Linked DNA regions of Elephas maximus indicus. The protein of the gene in region 2 interacts with the protein of the main gene of each other region in a pairwise test. Links are inferred from orthologs where the notes say so. Each region holds a gene or a part of one and is shown on either strand. Other genes may lie near its edges.

The links.
Region 1: the proteins of FSD2 (region 2) and PBX3 interact in a two-hybrid assay, tested with the Homo sapiens proteins (3 studies listed by BioGRID and IntAct). The two-hybrid records come from large-scale screens. The link is inferred for Elephas maximus indicus from reciprocal best matches to the Homo sapiens genes FSD2 and PBX3.
Region 3: the proteins of FSD2 (region 2) and PPP1R18 interact in binary tests that used the Homo sapiens proteins (3 or more experiments, as listed by UniProt). The two-hybrid records come from large-scale screens. The link is inferred for Elephas maximus indicus from reciprocal best matches to the Homo sapiens genes FSD2 and PPP1R18.
Region 4: the proteins of FSD2 (region 2) and SPATC1L interact in binary tests that used the Homo sapiens proteins (3 or more experiments, as listed by UniProt). The two-hybrid records come from large-scale screens. The link is inferred for Elephas maximus indicus from reciprocal best matches to the Homo sapiens genes FSD2 and SPATC1L.

What each region holds. Positions count from the first base shown.
Region 1 is NC_064827.1:76,699,864-76,707,143, reverse strand, and holds the start of PBX3 (pre-B-cell leukemia transcription factor 3), read right to left. Parts: upstream 3,082-7,280; 5' UTR 3,000-3,081; coding exon 2,800-2,999; intron 2,407-2,799; exon of another isoform or gene 2,141-2,406; intron 1,866-2,140; coding exon 1,792-1,865; intron 1-1,791. UniProt on the Homo sapiens protein: Transcriptional activator that binds the sequence 5'-ATCAATCAA-3'.
Region 2 is NC_064831.1:73,852,424-73,859,642, reverse strand, and holds the start of FSD2 (fibronectin type III and SPRY domain-containing protein 2), read right to left. Parts: upstream 3,098-7,219; coding exon 2,453-3,097; intron 2,310-2,452; coding exon 2,214-2,309; intron 1-2,213.
Region 3 is NC_064819.1:91,004,467-91,012,022, forward strand, and holds the start of PPP1R18 (phostensin), read right to left. Parts: upstream 3,138-7,556; 5' UTR 3,054-3,137; intron 1,990-3,053; 5' UTR 1,962-1,989; coding exon 348-1,961; intron 1-347. Other genes in the region: NRM (nurim), read right to left, coding at 4,595-4,876, 5,413-5,589, 6,193-6,389, 6,977-7,106.
Region 4 is NC_064820.1:231,321,349-231,328,428, forward strand, and holds the start of SPATC1L (speriolin-like protein), read right to left. Parts: upstream 3,015-7,080; coding exon 2,813-3,014; intron 1-2,812.

The DNA.
Region 1 (7,280 bases), on a different chromosome or scaffold from region 2:
CTTATGCTTCCTAATTGAACTCAGCCTGCTGCTAAATGTCTAAACAAGAAAAGCAGTTTGCTGAAGTGTGGTTCCCAAGCTGGCTAGGCCAAAACTTAAAAAAGGCAAAAAACTAAATATAAATCACAAGAATGGAGCAGGAGTATCAATCCCCTCTCCCTAGTACCATAACGCTGTATAAAGTTGAATCAATCTTAATATTCACAACATAGTCAATACCCCAGTGCTTAACTGTCAGCAGAAACTGAAGTGGAGCCCTGATAGCAAGAAAACCCTTGGACATTAAGCAACATAATTTACAGAAAATTACACACATTTAGGCTTCTAAACTAAGAATCCTCAAGATTTAATGCTTGATATCTTTTTTTTCTTTATCTTATTTTATAGTCAGGTAAAAATTATCTGTTTTAAATCACAATGCAAGATAATTAAAAATCAACCCTAAAAAAACTAATAATTTAAAATGCCCTTGGTTTTCAAAATGTAAAATACCTTTTAAAAGAATCACTCGATCTTAAGAAATCACACACACTATGTGAATAAAAAGCAAGAAAAATATTCTTTAGGCTCTCTTAGTATATGCTATTATGGTTATAGCATATATTTTAACAGCAATAACTCATCATTTTTTCTTGATTACTGTATCAGAACAGTATTATGGAGTAAAAAATCTGTTTAAAAGGAGAGCAGCTCGCCTATCAACCTAACAATTATACGCATTGTGCTATTATATGTACACTTAATTTAAACACAATCATATTTTAAATAGCATCACTTGGATATTACTATATCCTGGACTTTAACTTTCTCTTCTTTGGCTCAACTTAAAATATGGCAACTTTTAAAATACTGTATATCCAACACACACAGAGAAATTAATTCAACAGTAAAGCTTATTTAGTGCACGTATTTGCTATATAATGCCAAACACATACCAAAAATCTAAATTAAATCTCTTCCTCCATTCGAGCTGGTACTACCACCGCAAGATTAAAATATATTCAGATTAAGAAAGTCTAACAAGAAAATTAAATTGAAGTGAACTGCCAAAAAAAATTTGCCTAGTTTGTACTTGTAGTTTTTCATTCCAGCACTTCTGCAAAACCTGTTTTCTCATCTATCCCCTGCCTTGAACATTTGGAAAATTGTTTAACCTGTACCCGCGGACATTTTTCTACTTTATAATATATATTAAGTACCTGCACAAATACAATAACTTCAATCGTAAAATTTAATAAAAGTATAACCGATGCAACACAATGTATATGCCTAGACACACTGTTATCCTTCCTCACTTCTTAAAAGTATTCTTCCCACCTAAAACACTAATTCAAACATGCTATTTGGGGTCTGTTCAATTGCATCCATTCTTCTATCTGTGGAGGTGAAGCTTAAGACTAAGTAGAACAAAGTTCCGACGATGCTTCTCCCAGGGACTCGGTCCCTGGCATCCAGTCTCCCGTTGCTCCTTTTAAAAACTGACACACAAACAAGGCGAAAGGAGCGGGAGAGGGCTGCTGGCGCTCAGGACCCCTCCCCGCCTGCAGCCAGGGGCGGCCGCCTGGGAACGGCGACCGGTACGCATCTACACTTCATTTTACACCAGAAGCGAAATTGAGAAATCGACTCCAGATTTATTGCAGTTTTTTCTTAAGATCTGGAGGTGGGAAGGAGAGAATGATCAAAGATGGCGGTGCCCAAAAGCAGCAGCTCTCAACTGGAGAGTGGAAGGAGTAGCTCCGACCTCACCTCGGGGGTCTCCAAGACCACAGCAGGGGCGCAGCGCCTTACCTGTTTTCTCTTTGATCTCACACAGGACGCTGAAGAGCGCGGGTTTCATTCTGTGACAGTTCAGAGCGTGTTTCCTAAAAAACAAAACAGCAAAACACAAAGGTATTAGCATCACCTATGGAATAATATGGCGCCTTCCTTTAAGTTAGACCCAAGATTTAATTCCGGTCCCCTATTTTGGAAGGCTCTTTAGAACGATGGGAAGTCTACAGAAACTCAAGTTGACTAGTTAGCGACAGCCGGGAAGCTCCGGCGAAAGCTCCAGCCAGAACGAAGCGCGACCCATCTGCCGGGCAGGCAGCAGCCTCGGTAACCGCAGGGCGCAAACCCGCGCGGGGAGCCTTGATACCGGGGCAGCGACAGCGACCCGGGGGTGAGGACGGCCGCCGAGAGGCTCCCGCGCCCGCCCTCCGCAGGGGGAGCGGCCGCCGCGCCGACCTGCCGGCCGAATGCCGAGAGCGAACGGGTGACAGCTCCACAAAGTTTGCGGAGCGGCCCTCCCTTCCCCGAAAACTTGGCCGCCGGCACCCCACCCCGCCGGGGAGGCGCCCAGCGCCCAGCGCCGGGGCTGGGGCAGCGCCGGCACAGCGAGGTCGTCCGGTGGCCAAGGGGAGCTCCGGCGCCGGGACTCTGGGCCGGGGGAGAAAGTTGCACTTCCGTGAAGCGCGGCCGCGGCCCCTCTCGGGGCAGCGTGCACTGGGGTCCTGGCGGGAGGTTTAAACCTGTGGGAGGGGGCCGGGCTGCCAGAGGGCCGGACACGGCAGGAAAGTACAGCAGAAACGCTGCGCGGCACCGGGGCCGTCCCACACCTCAAGTGCAACTTTCCCGACTCCCGCCTGCGTCGAGGGGCGCGGGCAAGTCCCCAAGGCCAGGGCGGGCGGCCGGTATTCGGAGAAAGTTCCCCGCCGGGGGCTCAGGCCCGTGCCCCCGGCGCCACCCCGGCCCCGACTCGGCCGCGGGCCTGGCTCCCGCGCACACACAAAAGATGCTTAATGAGACGACACCAACTTTGCTTGCGCCTCGTCCAGGCTCTGGTCGGTGATGGTCATGATCTGGTGAAGGATGTCGCCGATGTCCTGCTTCCTGCCGTCGCCGTCCGCCCCTTCGTGACCGTGCGGGGGAGGTGGCAGGGCCATGCCCCCCTGCACCGAGTGCCCGGCCAGGTTCACCCCGGCCAGAGTCTGCAGCATCCTGGATTGATCGTCCATCCCGCCGCGCGCGGGCGGGAGCGGGCGGCGGCGGCGGCTGAGGCGAAGGCTGAGGCGGCGGCGGCGGCGGCAGCGACGACGAGGGAGGAGAAGAAAGAAGGGGAGGGGGAGGGGGAGGCGGCCGCGCGCTCCCCGCCCGCGCGGGGAGGGGGCGGCCCGGCCGGCGGGGCCCGCGGCTGAGGCGGCGCGGACGGGCGCCCGGCTCTGGCTTCCGCCGCCGCCGAGGCTGGAGAAAAGCGGCGGGCGGAAGCGCCGGGCTCCGCGGCGGTGGCGGAGGTGGAGGCAGCGGCGTCCGCTGCCCTCACACGGCCGCCGCGCCGCCTCCTCGCCGCCGCGCGCCCCGCCGGGCGGCCCCGCGCAACTTGCTCCTCAGCGCCGGCCGAGTTGCCGGGACGCCCGCCGGCCCCCGCGCCAGCCTGCGCACTCCCCGCCCTCAGCCGCCGCCGCCGCCTCCGCCACCTCGGCCGGGCGGGATCCGAGCCCCGGCGGCCCCGGGGAAGGGAGCGGCGGCGGCGGAGGAGGCCGGCGGGCTGGCCGAGGGGAGCGAGGGGGGCGGAGGAGGAAAGTTTGGGAGCTGGCGGGCTGGCGCAGAGGGGGCGCGGAGCCCGATGGAGGGCCCCGGCGGGCCGCGCGCCGGACCAGCAGCAGATTGATGAGGCGGGAGAAGTCGCCGCCGCCACAGCCGGAGCCGCGCACCCAGCCAGCAGCCGCCGCGGACCGGGCTCGAAGGCCGCTCGGCTGAGGGATTGACAGGCTGCCAGTGCCACTCACTCACTGCGGCCCCGGCGCCCGGGGGGAGGGGTGGGGGTGAGCGAGGAGGGCGGGGGCGCTCATCCTCACGCCCCGCCCCTGGGGGCGGGGCGCGCGCTCATTGGACCTTGAGCCTCCCGCCGATGCCTCTGGCACCGCCCCCTCTGGCCTCTGATCCCCAGCGCTGGAGGGCGCGCCGCGGAATCCTAACATCCGCGTCGCGTTCTCGCCCCCTCATCGACCCCTGCTCTCAAACGTTGTGCCCGCGCCCCGGCTCCAGCTCCATACTGTTATCAGTCTGAAGTGCGGGGGGGTCATTTGTGGAACATGGAACAACTTGCTCCAAAGCCAACCAAGTTCTTCCCCTCAGCGCCTGTGAGCTTCACGCCTCGGACAGCGCCTGGTACACTTTTCCCGCTTTTCCTGTCAGGAGGTGGTACCCTCAGAGTACCCGGAGCCTGTCCGGGCCAATCGCATCGCGCTTGAAGCAGAATGGGGCGGGTCAGAGGCAGGAGAGACCTGTCCCAATTGGAGTGTTCGAAATCTCCTGGGCGGAGGCAGGGGAGAGATGGTGGCCCCGCCCCTTCTGCCATCACCATAGTAACTGAGAGGGCGCTGCAAGGTGGTGGCATGCGTGGGCCTTGCACTGTCCTTCAAGGGGCGACCAGTTAAATGGAAAACTTGCCTCACGGAGGCTTGGCATCTGAACTGGTCCAGTCTGAATGCCATACTCTTTTCCTTTAAAGAGGAGCATATGAGACCATATCAAAGGGCAGCGGGTCTGGGAGTTAGGAAAGAGCTTGAAGTCCAGGGCTTATTTCAAGACCTACAACTCTTTAGACACTCTGCAACTCCTAGTAATTCAGGGACTACTCCTTTGGCAGCGTTTGCTTTTAGCTGCCTCCAGATGTACAAGCGGGCCCTTTGTACCAAGGACAAGTATGGGGATAGACTGGATTCTCTTGTCAACTTTCCCCATCAGCATGAGTCATTTAATATTGGTGACTGCAGCCCCAGATTTTCATATCTATACGACGCGGCACTGCGGTTTTTTTTATACGACCTATTATTCCATTGTACTCGGTCTACAAGTGACTAAAAGCATCACATTGTTTTGGGATCTGGACTTCCACGTCTTGTGGACACTTAAGCTTGCTCTTAACCTGATTTCCAAACAGAGGCTTCAACATCTGTTTTCTCCATGTTGGATTCATGGATCCCACCCTAGCTAGAAGATTTTGAAAAGTCTCCTTGTTCCGTTCCCAAGCTCAGTAAGCTATCTTACCTGAAACCAAAAATAGGGGTATGAAGATATGAAAAATGGCTCTTACTCTGCAGGGTTTAATGTAGGACAAGCAGTTCTTTAAATGCCAGATGGATTCTTGGAATGAAGCAGGCTACTCAGTTCCAGGTTCTTTCCTTCATATGTTGTGTGTACTTTTAAATACTCCCTACTGCAAAGCTAATAGCTAACCTTACAGTTAAGCAAGCTAAAATCCTTGCAAACTGCACAGCTGCTGAGAAGGGAATTCCAAACAATCCACTCTGCTTACTTACCTTGGAAGAAGATCTCCCTCACATTCATTAATATTCCCTACTCCTCTATACCTCATTTATATATCAAGTTTATATCAATTCTACTTTCAAGCCGCCCATTATGGGTGACTCATAGTCATCATTGATTGGGTTTTCTCTTTATTCTCAACTTGTTTTTCAAAGCTTGTTTTTCAAATCATTACTCATTTTTGCATAAAGGGGCAAGAGCAAGCAGCAACCTTTTGTAATTCTCCAACGTTGAAGACGTAAAACCATAGAATTCTATCTAAAAGATGCTTTAAACTCTTAAGATTCCTTCCCGCTCTAAAATTCAATGATCCTGTGATCACTATCAGGCCTCCTCCCCTGCCCTCCTTCTAGGCTCATAATCTTGACTAATCAGTCATGAGGATGAGTCTAATTAGCAATGTGGATTTATGGTTATTTCTAGCCCACTCCAAACAATGAGTTATGTAAGCAAAGCAACATATATAAAATTGTAAATAAAATTAAAGAAACATTTAAGCAAATAGAGGCAATTGGGAACTATGGGCTATGTAAACAAACTGGAACATAAAACATAAATTAGAATTAAGAAAACAGTTAAGCAAATGCCAGCAATTAGGAATAAAGCAACTTGTTAAATGTCTAACACCCACAGCTATTTTATGGTACACACCTCTATACTCGTGGTCACTCAGTGATGTGGAAACTTGGTGCCATAATTCTGCATTAACTGATTGGATTAGATTGACCTTTTGCTTGGGAGGCTTCTCTTTTTGTTATTATCAATATGAGTTGCGGTAAAAGCCAGAGGATCCAAGCAAGGATTCCCTCACAGGCTCATTGACAACTGCCATTGACTTAAAGCATAAATTCTTTTACATTGGTGTCCAAGCCCCAATAAACAGTGTGAACTAATTGCAGATCCTCCAAGATCTCTTGAGCATTTGCCAGTTTCTCATGTAGGATGCTGCTTTGCCTCCACTCAGGAATCTGAGTCACATGGTTGGTGCCTTCACAGATAATAGAATAGAACCTTCCTAAGTACCTGGATCCGTCTTTACTATTTCTAAGGCAGTGATTGTTATAAAGTCAAGGAAAATGCCATTTACTTTTGGTGAGTGTACATGCATATACATTTAACAGTGACAAAGCAATGAAACCCAAGTCAGGGCTTCCTCATATCCAGATCATTCCATGTGTTTATATTAACATCATCATCTCTCATCATGTGGCAATCATAACAGCAAATTGAGCACTTTCTTGGGATAGGACACCGTGACTTGTTTCTCTTACTTCATCTTATTTCAGTTTCAAACAACGCGGGTTAAGTGGGATCATTATGATATAAGGAAGCAGGACCAGAGTAGAGTAAGGAACTTGCACAAGACCACAAAGCCAGTAAGTATCGGAGCTTACATTCAAATCTTGATACGTGTGGCTGCAAAGATCACCCTCTAAAACAATGGCAAAAAAAAAAAAAATTAATCAAGATTACTAAATAAAGACCACAAGACTTAGTAGGTGAACTACGGTAAATTAGCGAAAATAAGTAACTTGGCGCTTAATTAAAAAAAAAAAAGGGGGGGATAAACATCTCTATTTAAGGAATCCAGGACTCACTGCAGCAGAGGAGGGAAATAAAGAACAAAGCCCAGCCAGGCCATCCTTCATGGCTACCTAGGATCCCACCTCTCTGAAGTTTGCATGCCTTTCCTGCCTTCACTGATCTTCATCTGCACTAAACTCTCAGAACATGTTTCCTGTAACACATACTTGACCACCAGACTAGATAGTCCTGTGTTGTTTGCTCTCAATTTCCCTGTTAGTTTTCTAACCTAGTTCCTAAGTATATTAACAGCAAGGTATTTTTTGAGATGTGACCATAACATGACTGATTTGGTGGTGGTGGCTGTTGTTTTTAAAAGAAAAAGAACTTAGCCATCCTAGAGTTATCATATTTTTATACAAAAAACACACACATTATATGTT
Region 2 (7,219 bases):
CTCACCTCTGTTCCCTGATGCTTGGATCATACAAACACCAGGATCACACAGACCCTCATCAACCAGGGAAGAGATAAAGGCAAAAGGGAATAAGGGTCATTGCCAGGTGGGTCTACCTAATAGATGAGAAAATGCAGGATGGCTGAGGAAGGGTTGTGACAATACTTAATCCTGGAGCACAGTGGGTGAGAAATATTAATTAGAGCATCCTGACTCCCTATTACTCAGCTTGGAAGCCCAGGAAAGCACTGTAGGTTCTGACTGATATCATCCTCATCAAATGACAAGGGCATTTCCAAAGAAGGGAGTTGTATCAATCATTCAAGGAGTATTTACTGAGCACCTGTTATATGCATAAGACCTGATAGAATGGTGGAAAAGAGGGAAAAGCAATAGATGACCTTCCATTGTTGAAAATGAAAGGATGACCTCAGAGTCCTTCCTGATGGTGAAGACACTTTACTCCAATCTGTGATCTGACAGAGCAGAGTGTAAGGAGTTTTGTCCTTGGAGGGGAAAGGGCTGTGCCTTCTCTGTGCCTTCCACAGTGTAATAGCTCTCTCCCTTTTAGTATCAGGGGTAACAAAGATCTAGATTCCTGGAAAAGGGTCCTGGGGCTTAGTTAATCTATGTGAGGTGCTTCTGTTGATACAATCTGAGGCTACATTAATAGAAGTACAGCATCACAGGAAAGGAGTGGAAAGGGGAGTCCTATGGCTCTCAGCCCTGCTCTTTTTCATCTGGAAGGCTAGACTGAGTTCTGGTATCATAGTGGTATGTGACATACTTCCTAAGACATACCCGGGAACTCTGACATGTTTGGTGACAGGCACAGAAACTTATTAATTTTATGAAAAATAAGTAACACTTATCAAAGACAGGATGGGTGTCTTGCAATGCTTTGTCCAAGCTGGTCCATGAAAAAGGGACTCATCTTGTTCTGTGTCACTCCAGGGACTCAAATAATGACCAGTGGGCATAAGTGACAGAGCAGCAGCTTCTGTTTCAGTAGTTAAGTTTTGAAACTTTGTCCCTTGACTCAAGAGCTCACATTCTTCCCCATGTTAGGGTTGCAATGGAGAGGGGCCTTCAAAGGATGGGAATTCTGACCCTAGATTCTTAAATTTCTTACTGATCTCTCAGGGAAGTCTGGAAATTCCTAAATAGGCAAAGACAACATGTAAACTTATCTTTTAAAGTCCATACACAGCTAAAAATATGTTTGTGTTTGAGTGGCATTAACAGGCAGAATTGGGTACATTGGCTATTAAAACAACTGAAAACTGCTTGATGGTCCACACATAACTTCATGTAGTGAATACTGCAAGTATCTCCAACAGCCTAGAATTAACCCTGAGAACAGGGAAACTACATGGAACCCCAATATCTCCAGCTACACAAGCCGGTAGCATCAAATAGCATCCAAGGGGTTCTCTCAGTGATTGAGATATTAGCACAAAAAAAAATGAGATAAAAGAAAGCCATTTGCCTCTTTACTGCCTAAGTTCAAATGAGGGGCTTCTGCTTGATAACGCCATCTTAAAATCATCTTTGTTAGAATAGGGGTCTAAGCCACGTGCAATTGGTGATTTGCGTGTAAGGAGCATGAGGAGAAAGATGCTAATGAAGGTGAAGGATCGTGATTGGAAAATTTCAGCATTATCCATTCAACAAACATATAAAATGCCTATCCTGAAACATACTCTGTAGTAGGACTAGGGATATAAAGACAAAGAAGACCCAGCCTCCAACTTCTGAGAGTTCGTAGTTCAGTAGGGAATATAAACAGGTAATTTGTTCCATGAGGTATATGCCCAAAGTGCTATGGGAGGCCAGAAGAAGGGGTGTGGGTATGGGGCAGTCAGGAAAGGCTCCCCACCGGTGATACCTCATGTTCTAAGAAAATAGATTCTCTAACATATAACAAAGGAGCCCTGCTGGAGCAATGGTTAAGCACTTGACTGCTAACTGAAAGGTTGGCAGTTCAAAACCACTCACTGGCTCCAGGGAAGAAAGAACTGGTGATCTGGTTCTGTAAAGATCACAGCCAAGAAAACCCCATGGGGCAGTTTTACTCAGTCACACGGGGTCACCATGAGTCAAAAATTGACTTGATGGCACCTAACAACAACAACCTATAACAGAAATAGCTGTCGACTCAGCCAATGATGGCAGCAACGTGTGGATGACAAGGTAATTAAGCATACTCTTACCTCCACAGTGATGAAAACCTCCTCCAAATGACTTGCAAAATTTTCCATCTCAATAATCTGCCTTTCCAATTTGAACATGTTTTTGTGAATTTCATCCTATCAAACAGAGGATCACAAGAAGTCTTTAATTCGATGTTTTTTCTCTCTTTTTTATAGAAAGTGTATTAAATTTATCCCCTGATGATATAATTGAGATACAAATGTATTATCAAGAGGAAGAACTAAGGAGGCCTATTTACCTTGGCGTTTTCCAGTGCTTTATCGAGTGGAGTCACCTCATGTCCCTTGTGTTCATCCAAAACCTTCTCACAAGCTCTTATTGGAGTTTTGCAAGTGACACAAAAGATGTCGGGAGCTTCTTCCTCATCCTCCTCCTCTGGGATGACATAGCATTCATACTCCTCACTGGACCGGCCACGTGTGTACCTATAGGCTTCCCTCAAGTCCTGGCACTGGCCTCTCGAGCCCCACCCTCCAAAGCTCAGGTCCTCGGCCTCGGTTGCCTCTCCACCAAATCGCCAGTCTCTCTGCTCCCTCGCTGACTCTCTCCTCTTCATCACGTAAGGAGGGTATTCTGAAACACCCGCCCTGAGTGTGTTTTCACCAACAAACTCATCTCCTAACTCGTGATCATCTTCAAGTCCATATAAATGAGCAAGTTCATCCACCTCCTCTTGAAGATCTCTTTGAGCCCTACCTTTTGCTGCTGCTCTTGGCTCCTTGGTCATTTCAGCTTGAACTACTTCTCTTCTCATTCTAGTGTTTCCTTCTGGGAAGATCTGCAATCTGTCTTCAGAGTCATACAGATCCATGTGATAAAATTGGAAGTCCCTGGGAGCAGTGGACCAATCCAGACCAGGTTTCTCCCCAGGTTCCTCCTCCATTGTAGTTCTGGAAGCCCTGGGCAGCACCTTTGCACAAGAGGGATCTTTCCTAGACAGTTAATAGTGAATATCCTGGGTCCGAGAATACAAAAAGAGAAATAAAAATGAGCTTCTGAGAAGGTCATTGCAGTAGGTGGTCATTACACTAAGTTCTACTCATTCGCAATTTTTAAATGTTATTTGAGCAGCTCAGTTGTGGCTTGGCTTTGAACTCTCTGTAAAGCAAGGTCTGCACTCTACAGGAGGATGGGCTGTACAAGTTTTAAAAAGGCAAAAAACGTTACAAAAGAAAATCACATTTGACTAACAAAAGGCTTCTGTATATAAAAATAACTCAAAAGGCAAAATAATGGGAGGAGTCCCTGGCAATTATTATTAAACAAATTGTACAAATTAATTGTAAAAATTTAAGACCTCAGTAGGTTACTGTGCAAGGACAATTCACAAAAGAATTGCTTTCATGTATAATATTAACTGTAAGGAGCCCTGGTTGCACAATGGTTAAGCACCTGGCTGGTAACTAAAAGGCTGACGGTTTGAACCTACCCAGAGGCTCCATAGGAGAAAGACTTGGTAATCTGCTCCCATACAGATTACAGCCAAGAAAATATATGGTGCAGTTCTACTCTGTACATTGGGTCGATATGAGTCGAAATCAACTCAACAGCACCTAACCACGACATAATGTTAACTGTGCACAAACATTTGGAAAACTTTCATTCTTATAAGTAACAAAGATAAAATGCCATTTTGCCATTCCAGTCAACACATACTTAAAGATAGAAAAATTATACCCAAGGCTGGTTAAGTGAAGTGAACACTCTCATATGTTGCTGGTTGGAATGTAAACTGGCCATACCTTTCTGGAGAGCAAAGCTGGTAACCTGCATCAGGAACCTTAACAGTTTTCACACTCTTTAATTTAGTAATTGTCTTCTGGGACGTTAAAGAAATAATCTCAAATACCGGAAGAAAAATTATTTCTACATAAAAATGTCCACCACAAGAATTTTTATAAAAGGTAAAAATACAAAAAAGAAAAAGAAAAATTAATGATTAGGAGAATGGCTAAGTAAACTAGGATATGAACACTATAGAATACAATGCAGCCTTTAAAGTATTTATGGAGTGCGCGTAATAACTTGGAAAAAGACTTACATTGTGATGTTAAGTAAAGCAAACAGAATACTTATTACATGTAGAATGTGATGTTCACTGTTTTAATGGAGGTATATAAAATCTAAGCAGAAATACTCAGAACAATAATATTAACCCATAATCCATTGCTGTCAAGTCAATTCTGACTCATAGGACAGAGTATAACTGCCCCATAGGGTTTCCAAGGAGTGGCTGGTAGATTCGAACTGCTGACTTTTTGGTTAGCAGCCGAGTTCTTAACCTCTGTGCCACCAGGTCTCCATACAATAGTACTAGTGGTGGTAAATACAATAATAGTAGTAGTAAACCCCATTGCCATCAAGTCCATTCTGACTGACAGCGACCCTGTAGGACAGAGTAGAACCACCCCATAGGGCTCCCAAGGCTATAAATCTTTACAGAAGCAGACCACCACATCTTTCTCTTGTGGAGCGGCTGCTGGGTCCAAACCACCGACCTTTCAGTTAACAGTCACGTGCTTTAACAACCGTGCCATCAGGCTTCCTTTGTATTATATTAGTAGTAGCTACCACTTACTGGTTAGGCATTGGTGCTTCAGTGGGAGAACGCGCACCTCCCATACCAATGCACCTCATGCGAGTGGAGGCTTGTGTGTTAGTATATGCCAAACAGGTTTCACCGGAGCTTCCAGACTAAGACGAACGAGGAAAAAAGGTCTGGTGATCCACTTCCAAAAATAAGCCAATGAAAACCTTATGGGTCACAACAAAACACTGTCCAATCTACAACGGATCCTGGCAGAGGGCTAGGCAGCATTTTGTTCAGTCATGCATAGGGTCGCCTTGAGTCACGGCCAAGTTGACAGCAGCTAACAACTACTTACTGAGCACTTAAAAAACCCACTGCCCTCGAGTCCATTCCGACTCCTAGCAATCCTATAGGACAGAATAGAACTGCCTCATAGGATTTCCAGGCTGTAAATCTTTACAAAAGCTGACTGGCACATCTTTCTCCTGCAGAGCAGCTGGTGGATTCGAACAGCCAGCCTTTTGGTTAGCAGCCCAGGGCTTTAACCACTGCACCACCAGGGCTCCACTGAGCACTTCCTGCCTGCTTTTTCTGCGCTAAGCAGTTTATATGCATTATTCTTGCTACTCTTATCCCCATTTTTTCAGATGAGGAAAATGAGACTCAGAGAGGGTATCTTGTGCAAGATCACATGATTAGTAAATTGCTGAACTGGGATTTGAACCTCAGTCTGACATCCAAGTACAGGGAGCACAACTGACCAAGGGTTTCAGCTGCACTCTGTAATCCATTGCCGCATATGCACAAAGGACGTGCTCCCCATAGGCTACTCCCATCCAGTGACAAAGTACAGGTGGGATACTAAGATCCATTCCTGGTTGGTACTAAACTCCTTTTATGTCCAATTTTGGCTTCTCAAACCTTCTGTAGCTCCATGACAGCCTAGGATGCTTCTGCCCAACCTTCTCTCCCTCTCTCTTTTATTCAAGGTCAGACTTGCATCATAGTCTGGTGGCTCTCCCAGCCTTTCTCATCTCTCTCTCTCTATTTTATGTCACACTGGTATTTCCCCTTAGAGAATTTGTGCATGTGTAATCTAGCTTGATGTCTGCTTCTTGAAGGACCTGGATTAACACAGTCTGTTGAACTCCAAAGACCTCGCTCTCTTCCTGGCACAGAACTGCCACTGTCTTATATTATTTATTTTTTTTGTAACAGCTTTATTGAGATATAATTCATATATCATACAGTTCAAGTGTGGAACTCAACATTTTTTAGCATATTAACAGTATATTAACCATCACTACAGTCAATGTTAGAACATTTTTATCACCTTGAAAAGAAGTCCTGCATTAGCTGTTACCTCCCTTCCCCTACCTTCAGCTCTAGGCAACCACTAATCTACTTTGGGTCTCTATAGATTTGCCTCTTTTGTACATTTCATATAGATGGAATCATATAATATGTGGTCTTTTGTGACTGGTTTCTTTCATTTAGCATAATATTTTCAAGATATATTCATGTTGTAGCTTGTATCAATCCTTCATTTCTTTTTGTGGCTGAATAACAGTAACCGACCTTATGGATAGACCACATTTTGTTTACCCATTCATCAGTTGATGGAAATTTGGGTTATTTTTACCTTTTGGTTATTGTGAATAATGCTACTTCAAACATTTGCATATAAGTTTGTTTTTATTTCCCTTGGGCCTATACCCAGCAGTGGAATCACCGGATAAAAAAATGACTCTAGGTTTAACTTTTTGAGGAACTTCCTGACATTTTCCAAACAGGCTGCACCATTTAACGTTTCCCACCAGCAGTGTATGAGGGTTCCAGTTTCTTCACATCCTAAGTCCACCCTTGTTATTATCTGACTTTTTGATTATAGCCATCTTAGTGGGTATGATGTGGTGTCTCACTGTGGTTTTGATTTGCATTTCCCTGATAACTAATGATGTTGAACATCTTTTCATGTGTTTATTGGATATTTGTATACCTTCTTTAAAGAGATGTCTCTTCAAGACCTTTGCCCAGTTTTAAAATTAGGTTGTCGTTTTATTATTAGCTCTAGAGTTCTTTATATACTCTGGATATATGTGGTTTGAAAACATCAGACATGTGATTTGAAAATATTTCCTCCCATTCTGTGGATTGTCTTATCAGCCTCTATGAGTCAGAACTGACTCCACGGCAATGGGTTTTTTAATGTCTTTTTAAAACAACAGAAACCCTGCTGGCATAGTGGTTAAGTACTATCTACGGCTGCTAACCAAAGGGTCGGCAGTCTGAATCCGCCAGGTGCTCCTAGGAAACTCTATGGGGCAGTTCTACTCTGTCCTCTAGGGTTGCTAAGAGTCGGAATCGACTCGACGGCACTGGGTTTGGTTTTTTTGTTTTTAAAACAACTTCGTTAAAGTATTATTTACATACCATCAAGTTTACCTGTTTTAAGGGCACGATTCAATGATTTTT
Region 3 (7,556 bases), on a different chromosome or scaffold from region 2:
CCAGATGGGCTGGGCTGGGTCACAGACTCAGAGGAAAGGAGAGAAAGAAATGGGGAGAACTCAGAGCCCTAGGGAAGGGAGAAAGCACAGCGTGGGCACACCCTGGGCACACCCTGGACAGCACACCCAGAGACAGTGCTTGATTGCTGGGCAGGCTCTGAGATGAATGGAACAGGAAGGCAGCAAGAAGAAAGGGTGTGTGTGCAGAGGGAGGAAGGGTGGTGGCAGGAATTAAAAAAGAATAGAGGGAGACAAGAATACAGGAGTATAAAAATGAACAAAAGACCGGTGCCCAGAGAGAACTGGCGAGTGGGCTCCTAAGAAGTCTGGCTTGGCTGCTCCCCTACCTGTTTGTGTTGCCTTTCCGGGGACCCCTTGACAAGGCAGCTGCGGCTGAGGCGGAGGTAGCCCCCTAGAACCAAGATCTCCTCGGCAGTCGGGTACCGCTTCTTCCCGGTCCCAAGGACTGCAGCATCAGCTGTGGAAGGGGCTGCAGGAGTGGCCGGGGTTGCAGGGGGCACAGACCGCCGGGGGTTGACTGTGAAGGTGTGTCCACTGCGGCGGGGGCCCCCCACCCCTGGCCCTGCCTTTACCCCATAGAACAGACGGCTCATGAGGGGATCCCCAGGGGGCTGGGGGACAGGTGGGGCTAGGGGTGGGGGAGACAGAGGGGCTGGTGGCGGGGGCCGGAGTTCTACTGCTTCCTCTTCCTGCTGTCGAGGGCCTCCAGTCCCAGCGTCCTCTGGTGGGAGGGGGGAGGGCACAGAGCAGCGGTTCTGCAGGATGCTCAGAGGCCTGCCCTGAGCCCCTGTCTCCTCCTCCTCAGCCTCCCCTTCTCCAGGCTCTACCCCAGGAGGCCCCAGGCGCTTCTCAGCGGACTCTGAAGGTTCTGGTTTCTGAGTTTGTGTCTCTGTGTCTCTGGGTGTCCATTCTTGAACCTTCCCGGAGTTCAGGGTCCACTTCCACCCTTCTGTCAGCCTCAAGCCCCTCTCACCGTCCTCCACTAGGCCAGGCCTCTGCTCTGCTGCCTCCACTCCTCCGGGGCTGCTGTCTCGAGCCTCCCTTGTTAGGGTCTCTGATAGCCCTGTAATCTCTTCTGGGACCATCCCTGGAATTGGCCTGTCTTCTTTTTTCCCACATTCTCCCGAGAAGTCTTTGCTTTCCTCTCCTGAGCTCGGCCTCCACTGTGATGCCTCTAGTTGTGCCGAACTCTGTTCCTGAGACTCTCCGCAGTCAGGCCTCCATTTATGGGCCTCTGTGAGGCCCAGCTGCTGGCTGCCAGACTCCCCTGGGCTCAGTCTACTTTCCACCACCTCTTTCCTCCTGGGGCTTTGTTCTTGAGGCTCTGCCAGTCTTAGACTCCTCTCTGGAGTCTCTCCAGGGCTCAGTCTCCATTTCCGTGCCTCTGACTGTCGGTAGTTCCTATCTCCCATCTCTCTTGGACTTGGCCTCCAGTCCTGAGCCTCTAAAGGTCTGGGGCTAGACTCTCGGGCTCCCCGTGTCCCCAGCATCTTCTCTCTGGCCTCCCTAGGGCTGAGCCTCTCTTCTCTTGACTCTCGTCCCTTGGGGCTCTGATCCCGAGTCTCCCCAGGGCTGGGTCTTGGCTCCCGAGCCTCAAGCAGCCCGGGCCTTCTCTCAGCAAGCAGCTCTTCACTCCGCTGCTGCTGCTGCTGCTGTCGCTCCTGCCGGATGAATCGGTTCTGGTGCACTGGTCCGATGGCCTCCAGGAGGACAGCAGACTCGTCTGCGTCTGGAGGTCCAGCCTCCGCAGTCCAGGGCACAGGGCTAGGCTCCCCAAGGGACAGCCCAAGCTTGGCCCGGCGGCGCTCCAGGAGCCCCCGCTTCCAGGCTGGCATCTGGGATAGGCGCTCTTGCTCAGCCTTCTCCCGGCCACGCATGGCTGCCTCCTCCTGCCGGCGCCGGGCTAGCAGCTGGAGCTTCCAGTCTGGGATGGTGGCCATAGTCGCCTTGGGGTGAGGCTGTGGAGTGCTGGGGGCAGAGGACAGGAAGGAGAGGCTTGTGAGAGAGGCTCAGGGGGTGAGACTGAGTGTGGGGGGAAAGGAAGTGAAGGGAGGAGGTGGGAGACAGAGAAGAGGAGCTGAGGTGAGGACAGGGGAAAAGAGGGAGAAGAGGAGGCAGAGGAAGGGAAAAGCTGGGAAAATAAAGAGAAAAGATAAGAGCCAAGTTGGTGGGGGGGGGCAGTGAGGTAAAAGGAAGAGTGCAGATTCAGGGCAAAGAGGGAGGAGTCAGATTTGGCACCACATTGTTAAGAAGTCTTACTGTCCCAAGGATGTGACAGGGAGAGAGAAGGGAGAAAAGAGAAGCTGGGGGCGAAAGAGAGAAAAGCGAAGCGGGGGGAGGGGAGGGCCGGGTTCAGGCGAGGCTGCCTCACCGCTACCCCACGGGAGCTGAGAGTGGGAAGGGAGGTCAGACAGTAGCGCTGGGGACAGGATGAAGGGACCTGGGGTGGGGGGGTCTTGGGGAAGTGAGGAGGGGTCCGAGAGGGAAGGGGTCTAGGGGAGAGGGGAAGTGAAGGGGTGGAGGGGAAAGTGAGCGCCGCGGCAGGAGGCCGGCGCGCTTCAGCGCGGCCCTAAGTCTCCTGGCTCCCCTTCCAGCGTCAATCGGCCACGCCCCTCCGGTCCCCCAGCCCCCACCTCCCTGCCCCGCACTCCGCCCCCAAGGCGGGTCAAGGGAAATACCCTCCCCCGGGACTCTCCGAACCCGGGCGTCTGGGCTGCCAGCATGTTCCCAGAACTAGGCATCCACCCCCACCCTGTCCAGCCACCACCGCCTGCCTCCCCCACTGGCTGCGCCCCGGGGCCCAGGCCTGCCGAGGATCGGCTCCACGCCTCTTCTTCCCAGAGCCTGAGAGTCCGCTGCCCCGGTCCCCCGCTCTCAGGGAACTCCCACCTAGCCGGCCGCCCCTACCCGGCTCTGACTGCACAATCTCGGCACAAAGAAGAGACAGCCCAAGGCCCGGCACTGGGAAGGGAGCAGGGACCAGAGCGAGGAGAACATCCCTCCCCAAGTCTGAAACCCCTCGGTCAACTCACGCGCCGCTGGGCCCCAGGGGAGGGGGTGCAGGAGAGCCCGGTGTCCGGAGAGAGGAAGAGGAGGAGAGAGGGAGCGAGGGAGATCCGGAGACGGGAGGGAGGGGAGAAGGAGGGATAGGAGGAGGGAAAAAGGGAGCCCAGAAGGAGGGACCTAGACAGGGACCAGGGGGCCGGGCGGGGGGCGGCAACCGCTTTGTCTGAGGACAATGGGGAGAGGGACCGGGGCGAGGGGCGGAGCCTGAAGAGGGGGCGGAGTCTCGCTACCCTAGACCCAGCCTTGGGGTTCCGCTACGGGACTCCCTTCTTCGCGTCAGAACCCCCGACAGTCTCTGCCCTGTCCCCAGAGGCCCTCATCCCTCCGCCCCCTGGCCCTTGAGTGCCTAGGTGACCAGACCCCCACTCCTAGCTCTCCGACCCAGGGCGGCGGCGGCTAGTGAGTGACTCAGGCCCCTCGAGGGACTTGAGGAGGAAGCTGCAGCTGCTTCGAGCCGGGCCCGCCCTTCCCATCTCCTGCCGCTCCTCCCCATGCCTTTGCCTTCCCCCGACAGCCTTTGTTACTGAGGGGTCGAGGGCTACTGCTGCCCCGCTGTCCGGGCCCATGCGAATGGGCCCCGGGGCGAGGGGGGAGGACGGGACAGGCGCACCAGGCCAACAGCTTTGGGAGCTCGCTCTCCAACCAGAGTAGCAGCCCCCTCTCCCATGAGTCCCCTGGTCTGCAACAGAATTGGGGTTGTGAAGGAAGGGGAACTCGGCAGCTCCGGGCAAGTGGGGGCGGGTCCGCGAGAAGTGGTCGCCCAGATCTGCGTTTGTCTCGGCCGGCTTCCCGCTCTCCTTCCTTCCCAAACCCATTCCTGCAGCCTGAGAGACACTAAAGATTGCATGCCAGATGTAGAAAAGTCAGGCTAAATTTTATTTTCCTGTAACGCGTGTACCTCGGGGAAGCAGGGAGCCCTAAGCTATCCAAAACAAGAGCGGGAGAGTCCCCTCAACGAGGCCCAGGGGAAAGTGACCAGTGGCGGGACCTAGGAAGGTGGAAAGACAGGGCGGGTGGAGAGGATAATAAGGGCTGGAGATGGAGCCTCGAGGCGTGGGCCCTGGAGGGACGCCCAGTACAGTCAAACTTGCAGACTCTGATCCAGTTCCTTGGGACTGAAGCCAGCTTTGGAGAAGGGGGATCCCTGAGCAACAGTGCCAGGGGAGTGGTCAAGGCGGATCCTTTCCCTTGTGGTGTAGGCGCTGGAAGGGGGCGCTCAAGCTCAATCCCCAAATGGTGAGGGGACAGATGAGTTCCACACCAGCCTCTTTAGGGAGAGGAGAGGGCCCTAGCTGGTGAGAAGTGGACCTTCGAGTCCAATGACTAAAACTCTGAATTTAGGGTATGGAGCTGACCTCAGGAAATGGAGTCTCAAGTAGGGGAAGGACCAGGCCCTGCAGTTCAGAGTTTGGGGCCTCTGGCCCGAAGTAGCCAGCACTTGGATGTTGACAGATTTAGAATTTGAGGGGAAGAGGAAGTACAGGGCTTGGAACCAGAAGTTAGCTCTTCATTCAGCCTCCCCATCCTGGGGACGGGATAGCAGGTGCAGTTTTCTTTGTAGCTGGGCCCGGAGGTAGCGGAGGTCATGTTGGTCCAGCCCATGAGCTAGGCCCAGGTAGAGGGTGAGGAGGAGAGCAAGGAGGAGGCGATCAGTGCCCAGGGTGGGCACCACCCACAGTATGGTCAGCAGCTCCACACACACTGGGTGGCGAAGATGGGAGAAGAGCCTCAGAGCCCGGGGGGACTTCAGGGCCAGTGGCTCCCCCAGCCCGAGAACATGGTAGTACACCTAGGACAGGGAGAACAGTGTAGAAATAGAGCCAAGACCTTTTGACAACTTAAAACGAAAAAAAAAAAAAATTACCATCGAGTCGATTCCGACTCATAGGGACCCTATAGAACAGAGTAGAACTGCCCCCATAGAGTTTCCAAGGAGCACCTGGTAGATTCGAACTGCCGACCTTTTAGTTAGCAGCACTAGCACTTAACCACTATGCCACCAGGATTTCCTTTCATAACTTGGCTTCCTCTTTTCTCTCCCAGGCACCCTCCTCCTAGAACTCAGGCCCAGGCACTCCCCTTCAGAGAGCTGGGCTCCTGACATGGCTATCTAGTCCATGCATCTTCCCCAGGCCCAGGAGGCCCATGGTTGCTAGGCTTTGAGGGAGGGCTGAGGGGAGACTGTCTGACAGGAAAGGGAGGTGAGGGAGTCACAAGCAAGGGGAAGGTGGTAGAGCACTGGAGGGGGAGGACTGAAATCCTTGGAAGGGGAAGAGGAGTTCTAGAAAGGGCTGGAGGCCCCAGGTAGGGATCTGGAAGCCTCACCTGTTTGAGGCCCATGAGCTCAGCGTAGTCAAAGACGAGAAGGATGCTGAAGATAAGGAGCCAGGAAATGATGTGGAGCACAAAGCAGAGCAGGGGCACCCAGGTGGCCCATGGCTCAGCTCGAGCCTCCCACAGCACAGGACCTCTGGGTACAGGTTCCCAGTACCTCATCACCAGCTGGGGAAGGATGAGGAGCTGAGTATCCCCGCAGCCCACCCCTGAGATACCCAGTCCCAGAGGCTGCCCCATCCAGGCTGATCTGCAGCTCTCCCCTACCCCCATCATGAGCATCCACCGCGTGGAGCGTGCTGGGTGGGGTTCCAAGAATATAAGGATGACCTGTCTCTACCCTGAGGACTTACAGAATGGGTAGGGTGATCAGACAGGTACACGAAGTAGCCAGTACCAAGCACCCAATAAGAAGACAAAGGAGCACTCACTGGGAAGCTTTCCCTTGAGGCTTAGGGGTGTGGGTTTTGAAGAACTGGTAGGACTGAGTGGAGTTAAGGAGGGGATCCCAGGCAGGGGGAAAACATGAACAAAGTTGCAAAGGTGAGAATGCACATACTGTGCTTGGCCAGTGATGAGTACACCCTTCTTGATAAAGAGTAAGATATTTGCTGTGGAGGAACAGAAGCTGAGATTAGAGTCTTGAGCATCCTCAGCTCTCCTCCTAAATCCAAATTTTATCAGAAGCCTAAACTCCATGCCCCTCCACGCCAGGGTGTCCCTCCCACAGATTCTGTCCTCCTTGAGAATATGCCTGCCAGGCCCCCATACCTGCAAGGCCAGGGCAGTGCATGCCACATACAGTGACCGCTGCAGGACCCCAAAGTACCGAGACGACCATGCCTTCACTGTCTCAGTTGCCATGAGGCTGTGCTGCCCCACAAATAGTAGCAGGAGCCCCAGATCCCATGCCAGGGAGACAAGAATGCTGCGATCCTGCAGGGCAGCCAACCATCCCTGCCGGACATCTAGGGGGAGATGAGAAACAGAGAAAAGATCAGGAAGATGGCAGGAAACACTCCTTATCCTAGGCTCTTAGAGCACCAGGCCATGTCCCTTAATGCCTCCAAGAGCCTTCATGCTTCCTCTCCAGGCTTGCCCATGTCACTTTTTCTTTCCCGTTTCTTCCTTCTTCCCCAGGCATCCTCCAGAGCTGGGAAAGAGGAGTCACAGAACAAAGAACGTTGGGCAGTCACAAAAGGCGTGGCTGGAGAGGCCACCTTGGATTCTCTCTTTCATTTCAGTTCTCCAAATGGTCCCTCTTTTAAACTCTTCTCTACAGTCCTCCCCATAAAGCCCTTTCCTTAAAATACTCTGCTTATCACCCTTCCCCTCCCCCTCAGTCCTCACTCTCTCTCCATTCTAAACCTCTTATCCCCGAGTTCCTAATTTAGCCCGCAGGTCCCCTTCCCCTGGCGCGATTCGGCGCTTCCAAGGTTCGAGTTCCCTCTCCAAGACTTCCCATCTGTCATTGGTCTCCAAGTCCCGCCCCCGCGCCCTCTTCTCCGGCTCCACCCCCCTATCCCGGAGTCATCCTCTGGTCCCTCCCGCTCACCGGGGCCAGCCTCCGAGACCCCTCCAAGAAGTGGCCGAAGGGAGGTAAAGCGCACGAATTCCACTCCGGTGCCAAAGGCTAGAATGAAAGAGGCGAGGGCAGCAGGAACCAAGAGAAGCGCAGGGGCCATGGCGAGAAGCTGAGGGGCGAGGAAAGGGGGCGGCCCCGGGATTCCCGCGGCAGCTGGCCCCGCCCCGGCCCCGCCTGGGGTCCCACCCAGAGGGCGGGGCACCCGCGCACCGCCTCCCGGGCTTCCGGCCCGCCCGGCTGCGCTTGCCCAGCAGGTGGCCGCGCCGGCGCTTGGGTCCCTTTTTCGATCCTGCGATCTTGGCGTCACAGAAGGGAATGTTAGAATTTCATGTGAGCTGTTTAAAGGGCAGCGGCTCGGCAGCCACTGTCGTGGGTTGAATCTCAGCTCTTGCTAACAATTTCTCTCTTGTAGGGTTCTTAAGGAAATGGAACCTTGTAAACCCCGTTTTCTTTAATTTAGCCTTGACTAAAAAACATAACCAGAATGAGAGCTAACAAGCCTCAGCAGTTTAATAGTGAACGGTGAGAGAACGGGAAGATTGTTGACGCA
Region 4 (7,080 bases), on a different chromosome or scaffold from region 2:
GCCCCAGAAACCCACGTTCACAGAGGTGTGTATATGACGCTGCTCACTGAAACTTGATCATGGAAAGCTGGCAGCCTTCCCACTGTGGGTACACCAAATGGGATGTGGAATCCCCACATGGAAGAGTCTGTGCTCTAAACACTGGTGTAAGATGGGACGATCCATGGAGGAGGATGATGGAGAATGGGGCTGAGATGGATGGTTAAGGGGGTGAAGAGAAAATTGCAGAAAAATACAATCCCACTTAGGTAAACCAAAAGGCTAGGCAGAACTGTGCATGAATATCCATCAAGAATTTCAGACAGAAACCTGAGAAATGTTGACAGCAGCTGCCTTTGGGGCACAGGATCAGGTGGCAAAGATGGAGCCTCGAATTCTATCTAAATCCTTATGTGGCGTTAAACTTTACCGTGAGCACATATTGTATAATTAAGAAAAATGGGTTCAAAAACACGTGTCTTCTGAACAAGGAGTGAAGGGATTCCGGGAAACAAAACAAGCTTTGCTGTGTCGAAGTCTTCCGTGTGTGAACTTCTGCCATCTGTGAAACAGCTCAGTGTTTGTTTCCAAACTGGAATCCCCAAGGCCGAGGCTGCACTCCTTCCAGGAAGACCCTCTCATGGGGGCAGAAGGCAAAGGTCAAGACCAACCCTAAGGGCAATGCCCAGAGCCTGGACTGCCCTGAGCTCGTGCATCTGGCCTGGACACCAAGGGCCCCCACAGTGCTGCCCATTGAAGCAGCAGAGGTTAGGGGCAGCCTGCCATGGGCCCCCCTGCCCAACCAGCCTGCCAAGTGTCCCAAGCTGGGGTCTCAGTGGGGACTTGGGGAAGGAGAACAAAGGAAGGGGGTCATCTCAGGCCCACACTGCCCTGGCTGTATGTGTGGGTGTGGAGCAGACATGACCACACCTGTAACTACAAGCACCATCAGCGAGGTCAGAGAAGGACCAGGGAATAGGAGAAAGAAAGAGACCCTCCCCTAAGCTTGACGCCCAAGTTCACATCACAGCAGGAAAACCCCCTGGGACAGTGGCTACCACAGCAGCAGTACCCAGGATCTGGCCAACACCCTGGGCCAGAGATCCCCAACGCGTCCTGAAGCTGCAGGAAAACCCAGGAAAGACGGCTGAGCATGAAGGCAACAAGCACTGAGGAGGCAGGGCCTGGCTTGAGGGGGCTGATCAGGCCACGTGGTTGGGGCTTGGGGTGAGGAGGCACCAAGAGGTCCTCACCCTGGCCAGGACTGAGGTGCAGCTCCTCACTAAGGTCTTCCAGGGGATGGCCTGCCCAAGTGAGAGCCTCGACCCTCTCCCAACGCCGCCCACCTCTGAGTGCTCCCCAGAACCGCTGCCCGTGCTGACCCATGGTGGCTCTGTGCCCTGAGCTTAGGCCTGGTGGGTTGAGTCCCTGGAACACAGGACACATGAGGCGGCACACATCACATGGCTCTTGGCAGTTGTCACAGCATTGACCACAGACATGGAAGCAAAGTGCCTCTGTGGACACAACAACTGAGCAGTGGCCTGGGACTGATAGCCTGACATGCAGGGGGTCACCACATGAGGCCTTATGGGTGCAGAACACATGGGTGCAGGCTGGTGGCTCAGGGAAAACCAGCTCTCCAGCCATTCTTGGCCATGGCTGATCTCTGAGTCCCTTTCCTCTTCCCACCCATCTCTTCCAAGGGTCCCTCTCAGCCTATCTTCCCTCCTCAAGGATCCCTCAAGAATAAAGGTTTCAGGACCCTGCGATGGGTCCCTTGGACTGGGACATGCATGATCACAGCTTTTCCCCCATGTACTCCGTTGGGGCCAGCAGACAGGACACAGGGCCCGCCTCTTGCATGCAAACCCTGTTGGGGTGTACACTGTGCCCAAGGCAGAGCTAGGTATTCAAACAGGGTCCCGCAGCCACGCCTGGGATCCTTCACACCAGTGAGCTGCTGTCCAGGGCTCCAAGCCCCTCACCGAGGAATCAGTAGCCACTTCAGGAAGTCTCAAGAGAGGAAAAACATTTCACGCCTGGTGGAACAACTGAAGCTCCAAGACAGCAGGGCTCACAGGGCAGCCTTGAGGCCACCTGCCCTGTCATCCTGGAATGACAGGGCACCTGCGTGGCCACCTGCCCCCTCACTGAGGTTTGGACAAGCTGATGTGTTCCTCTGTTTCTGTCCAGCCAGCGAGCGTGAGCAGTTTCCACTTCCAGCAGGAAGCTGAGCTCTCTGGTCACCAGACTCCCTCAGGCAGTGCTGGCCAAGGATCCCGTCCACTGCCCACCATCTGAGTCACTCAAACACCAACATCATGCACCATCCACCATGCCACAAACTATACTTCCCATGTACATAAGGAATTGATTTATAAAAACAGAGCAAACTACTTCCCTATAGGAGGTCTAGAATGTTGAATTGATACTAACCACGTGGTAAACCAAGTCACTCTCCCTCTGTCTGTGACTGTAGGTCCTCCCACCATGGGCGACACTTCCTGCATGCTGCAGGGTGTGGACTGACAAGATGGGAACAGAGGCTCCCAGAGCTTGTGGGTTTGGCCACCCTCATGTCATTTGCCGGGGCTGGTCCACACTCCTGGAGAAGAAGGAGCGCAGCCTAGCACACCATCCAGCCAAGAGGAGCCCAGCCAAGCCCAGCCCAGTGGTCCTGGAGAGCTATGAGAACCTGTGTGTCCTGTGTAAGCCACTGGCAACCCTTCCGTGGCAGTTGCTGACTGGCACCCCTACCCATCTTCTAGGGTGGACTCAGTGGCCAGATTGGAGAGGGAGGCAGCCTCCCATGACCTTCTCGAGGTCTTACCTGCACCCCCAGGAGAGCAGGCCTCAGGGTAGCTGGGAGCCCTGGGGAGGAGGAGCTCACGGGCTGCACGGCCACCACTCTCCTGGCAGCTCTCACTGAGCAGCCTCTTCAGCATCTGGTTCTCCTTCAGGAGCCGCACCTGTTTCTTGAGGTCAGCATTCTCGCTCATGAGCCTGTTCATCAGCTCACTCCCCTCAGCCATGGCCACTTTTGCCTCCGCAGTCACATGCGGGCCTACGACCCCATGGGGATGGAGATCCAATCGTGGACACCCCACGGACAGCCAAGGTCGCTGAGTTCCAGGATGGCCAAGGCATTCCGCAGCCTTGTGATGTCACCACCCTTAAAGAAGCAGCTGCCTGCCAGCACCTCCTGCTGCCCAGGCTGCATCCTGTCACCTGCAGAGTCCTGACAGGCAAACCCAGCCCAGCCAGCTCAGGGACACCCCAGAGAAGACACTGGCTTTCTAGCGCCCATTCCAACATTTTATTTCTTTCTTAAATATTTGCTAGATTTCACTAGTGAAGCCATCTGGGCCTGGAGTTTCCTTCTGGGAAACTTTTTAAAAAATTTCTGATTCAATTTCTAAAATAGATATGAGACTACTCATATATTGTATTTCCTATCATGTCCATTTTGATAGCAATTGTGTCTTTCAAAGAATTTTTCCATTTCATCTAAGTTATGGAATATTGGCCTAAAGTAGTTAATAATATTCTCTTATTATCTGCATTTGTTTGTGGGATCTGTAGTGATGCATCCTTTTCATTCTTGATACAGGTCACTTGTGTTTTCTCTCTTTTTTACTTGATCAGACCAGGCTAATTTTTTCAAAGATTAATTTTTGGTTTTATTGATTCTATCACATTTGATTTCTGCTCTTATATTAACTATTTCCTCCTTCTACTTACTTTGGGTTGTAAGTTTTTTAAGGTGGAAGCTTAGATCATTGATTTTTAAACCTCTCTTATTTATTGCCTTAACTTTTAAGCCTACAAACATTTCTGTAAGTACTGCTTTAGCTACATCCCACAAATTTCTATGTTTTCATTTTCATTCAGCTTGAAATATTTTCTAATTTCCCTTGTGCTTTCTTCTTTGATCATGGGTTATTTGGAAGTGTGTTAATCTTCAAATATTTTTTGAATTTTCCAAACCTTTTTGTTACTGATTTCTCCTTGAGTTGTGTTGTGGTTAGAGAATGTACTCTGTGTGGCTTCAATCCTTTTAAATTTCTTGAGACTTGTCCATGATCCAGCATATGGTCTAACTTAGTAAATGTTTTACATGCACTTCCAAAGGATGTGTACTTCACCATTGTTGGGCGGAGAGCTCTATAAATGCCAGTCAGGTGAAGGTGGGTGATAATGTAGTTCAAACCTGCATCTTTACTAATTTTCTATCATTTACTGAGAGACAAGTGTTGAAATCTCCCACTATTATTGTGGATTTGTCTAATTCTGCCAGTGTCTTAGTTTCCTAGGGCTATTGTTAAATACCACAAACTGGGAAAATTTTGAGAACAGAAATTTACTGTCTCACAGGTTGGGAAGCTCAAAGTCCAAATCAGGATATTAGCCATATTGATTCCTTCTGAGGGCTCTGAGGGAGAAGCTGTTCCATGCCTCCTTCCCAGCTTCTGGAAGCGCCTGGCAATCTTCGGCATTCCTTCTCTTTCAGTTGCATCTACCTCCACAGTCACATGGCCATCTTCTGCTGTCTCTCTGTGTAGCTTCTCCTTTTTCATGAGGACGCTACTCATATTGCAAGCAAAATCTGGGCAATAGAAAAAGAATTGACACATTTGAACTGTGGTGTTGGAAATATGATGGTTAAGGTTGTGCATTAACCTGGCTGGGCGGTAATTCTCAGTGGTTTGGCAGTTATATAATGATGTGGCTTAGCAGTTGTGTAATGATGTAGTTATCCTTCATTTTGTGATACAATGTAATCACCTCCACAATGTGATCAGCCAATCAGTTGTAAGGGGAGTTTCCTCAGGGGTGTGGCCTGCATCCATTATATATGGTCATTCTGCCAAGCTCGCTGGCTTTTGTTTGCTCTGGATCTTGTATCTGGCTCATCATCATCTGACCTCTGGTCTCAGGACTTGAGCCAGTGGCCTACTGTATTGCCTGCTGATCTTGGATTCGTGAGCCTCTGCAACCAGCGAGCCAACAGCCTACTGTCTGACGACCGATCCTGGGTTCATCAGCCCCTGCAGCTATATGAGTCAGTAAAAGCCTCCAGCCTGATGCCTGACCCAAAGAAGGATTTGGGACTTGACAACCTCTACAACCACATGAGCCATTTTCTTGAGATAAATCTCTCTCTCTTTATAAATATATATATATGTATATATATATTTCACTGCTTTTGCTTCTCTTGAGAACCCAGCCTAAGACATTTGGCACCAAGAGTGGTTCTACAGAAACAAAATCGTAAGGATGAGTTTTCTAAATTGGTTCTCAAATCTGGTTAGTCTTAAAGTTGTTGATGATTCTGCTTCCAGTACTAAAGAGGGCGCTGTGAATTTATGGCATAAGGTGGCAATAGAAATACACAAAATATCCCCACCAAAGATCAAGTATTGGTGAGAGACAAGACTTGGGGTGATTATATGTTTGATACTTTTCTACAATTTTGTCAGAATGAAAAGTATAAGGGAGATGGTTGGTCGGCCCTCCTTTTGCCAGAAAAAGTGGTGAAAGAAACAAACTCAGGGCTTCAGAGTCACAACTCAAGTGCCACATAAATGACCTCAAAGTTACCACTTGCCTTGAAAGAAAGCCTTGTTTCTTCTAGTAACAGAGCTGATACCGCCAAAACCCAAACCGAGAGTCTTATCATAAAAAAAAAAAAAAAAAAGAGTGGGTGAATTACAATGCCAGTAGAATTCCCAACCTCAAATGGTGTCTGAAGCTAAAGCGGGGCATTGATTGGGAAGAAATGGGATCCTGAAACTTGGTATGGGAACACACAGTCACATAGTCAGGAACCCGGGGACACTGAGTGCCTAAATTCCATGGAATTACTCCTGCCAATAGAACCAGCCCTTTCACTCACATCTGAAGAAATCACTCCATCTTTGTCAGCTAAATGACCTTCCCCAGTAAAACTATTAGCCCTTCCATCCCAACTTGATGAGATTAACCCAGCTGTGTCTGAAGAGCCTTTGTTTGAGATATCACCTGGGGCTGCATCCAAGTCATCACCTGGGGAGGCATCTGGGGCATTGCCCAGGGCATCGCCTAAAGCAGATGCCTTATAAAAAAAAAAAATTTTTTTTTTTTTTTGCCTTATAAGACATTGCTAAATGTTCTCAGAACACTCCCCACCCTCTATTTTTGCTTCTAGACCTATAACTAGACTTAAGTCCCAGTGAGCCCCAAAAGATGAAGTACAAAGTGACCCAGGAATAGGTATGGTACACTTCAAAAGAACTGCTTGACTTTGCTAATATGTACAAACAGAAACCTGGGGAATATGTGCAGGAATGGCTATTAAGGCTGTGGGATAATGGTGCAAGGAACATGAAGTTGGATCAGTCTGAGTTTATTGATATGGGCACGCTAAGCACAGATTCATCATTCTATGTTTCAGTTCAAGAGGTTAGGAAAGGATCTGTTTATTTGGTTGGTTCACTGAAGCATGGATTACGTGTTGGGCTACACTAATCAAGTTGAAGTACCAGGTCTGCCTTGGTATACTGTAGAAGAAGGTATCTGAAGACTTAGGGAAATTAGCATGTTAGAGTACATTTATCTGGTTAGCCCAGCAGACCCACACATTTGTACCCAGAAAACACACTTTTTACCACAATGGTGAGGAACAAATTTGTGAAGGGAGTCCCAGCATCCTTGAAGACTGCTGTGATAGCTATTTTTTTAAGTCTGATTTGACAGTGGGAACTGCCCTAAGTGAATTAAGATGCTACAATGGGGCTGATTGGATCCTGTGGTGGTAGAGGCCAAGTGGTGGCACTCAATCAACAAAGACAAGGTGGGTGTGGTTACCATAATAGCCAGCGAGGTTCAAGCAGTAATCAGAATAGTCTGACTAGTATAGACTTAAGGCATTTGCTACTTAGTCATGGTGTCTCTAGGAGCAAAATAGATGGGAAATCTAAGTATTTACTTGATCTGTACAAGCAGAAGAATTCTAGGTCAAGTGAACAGCAGTCTAACTCAAATCACCAGAATAGAGAGTCACAGCCCCTCAATCAATTCCAAGGCTTGAGCCGGTTTACAGACCCACAGCCCCTTAAA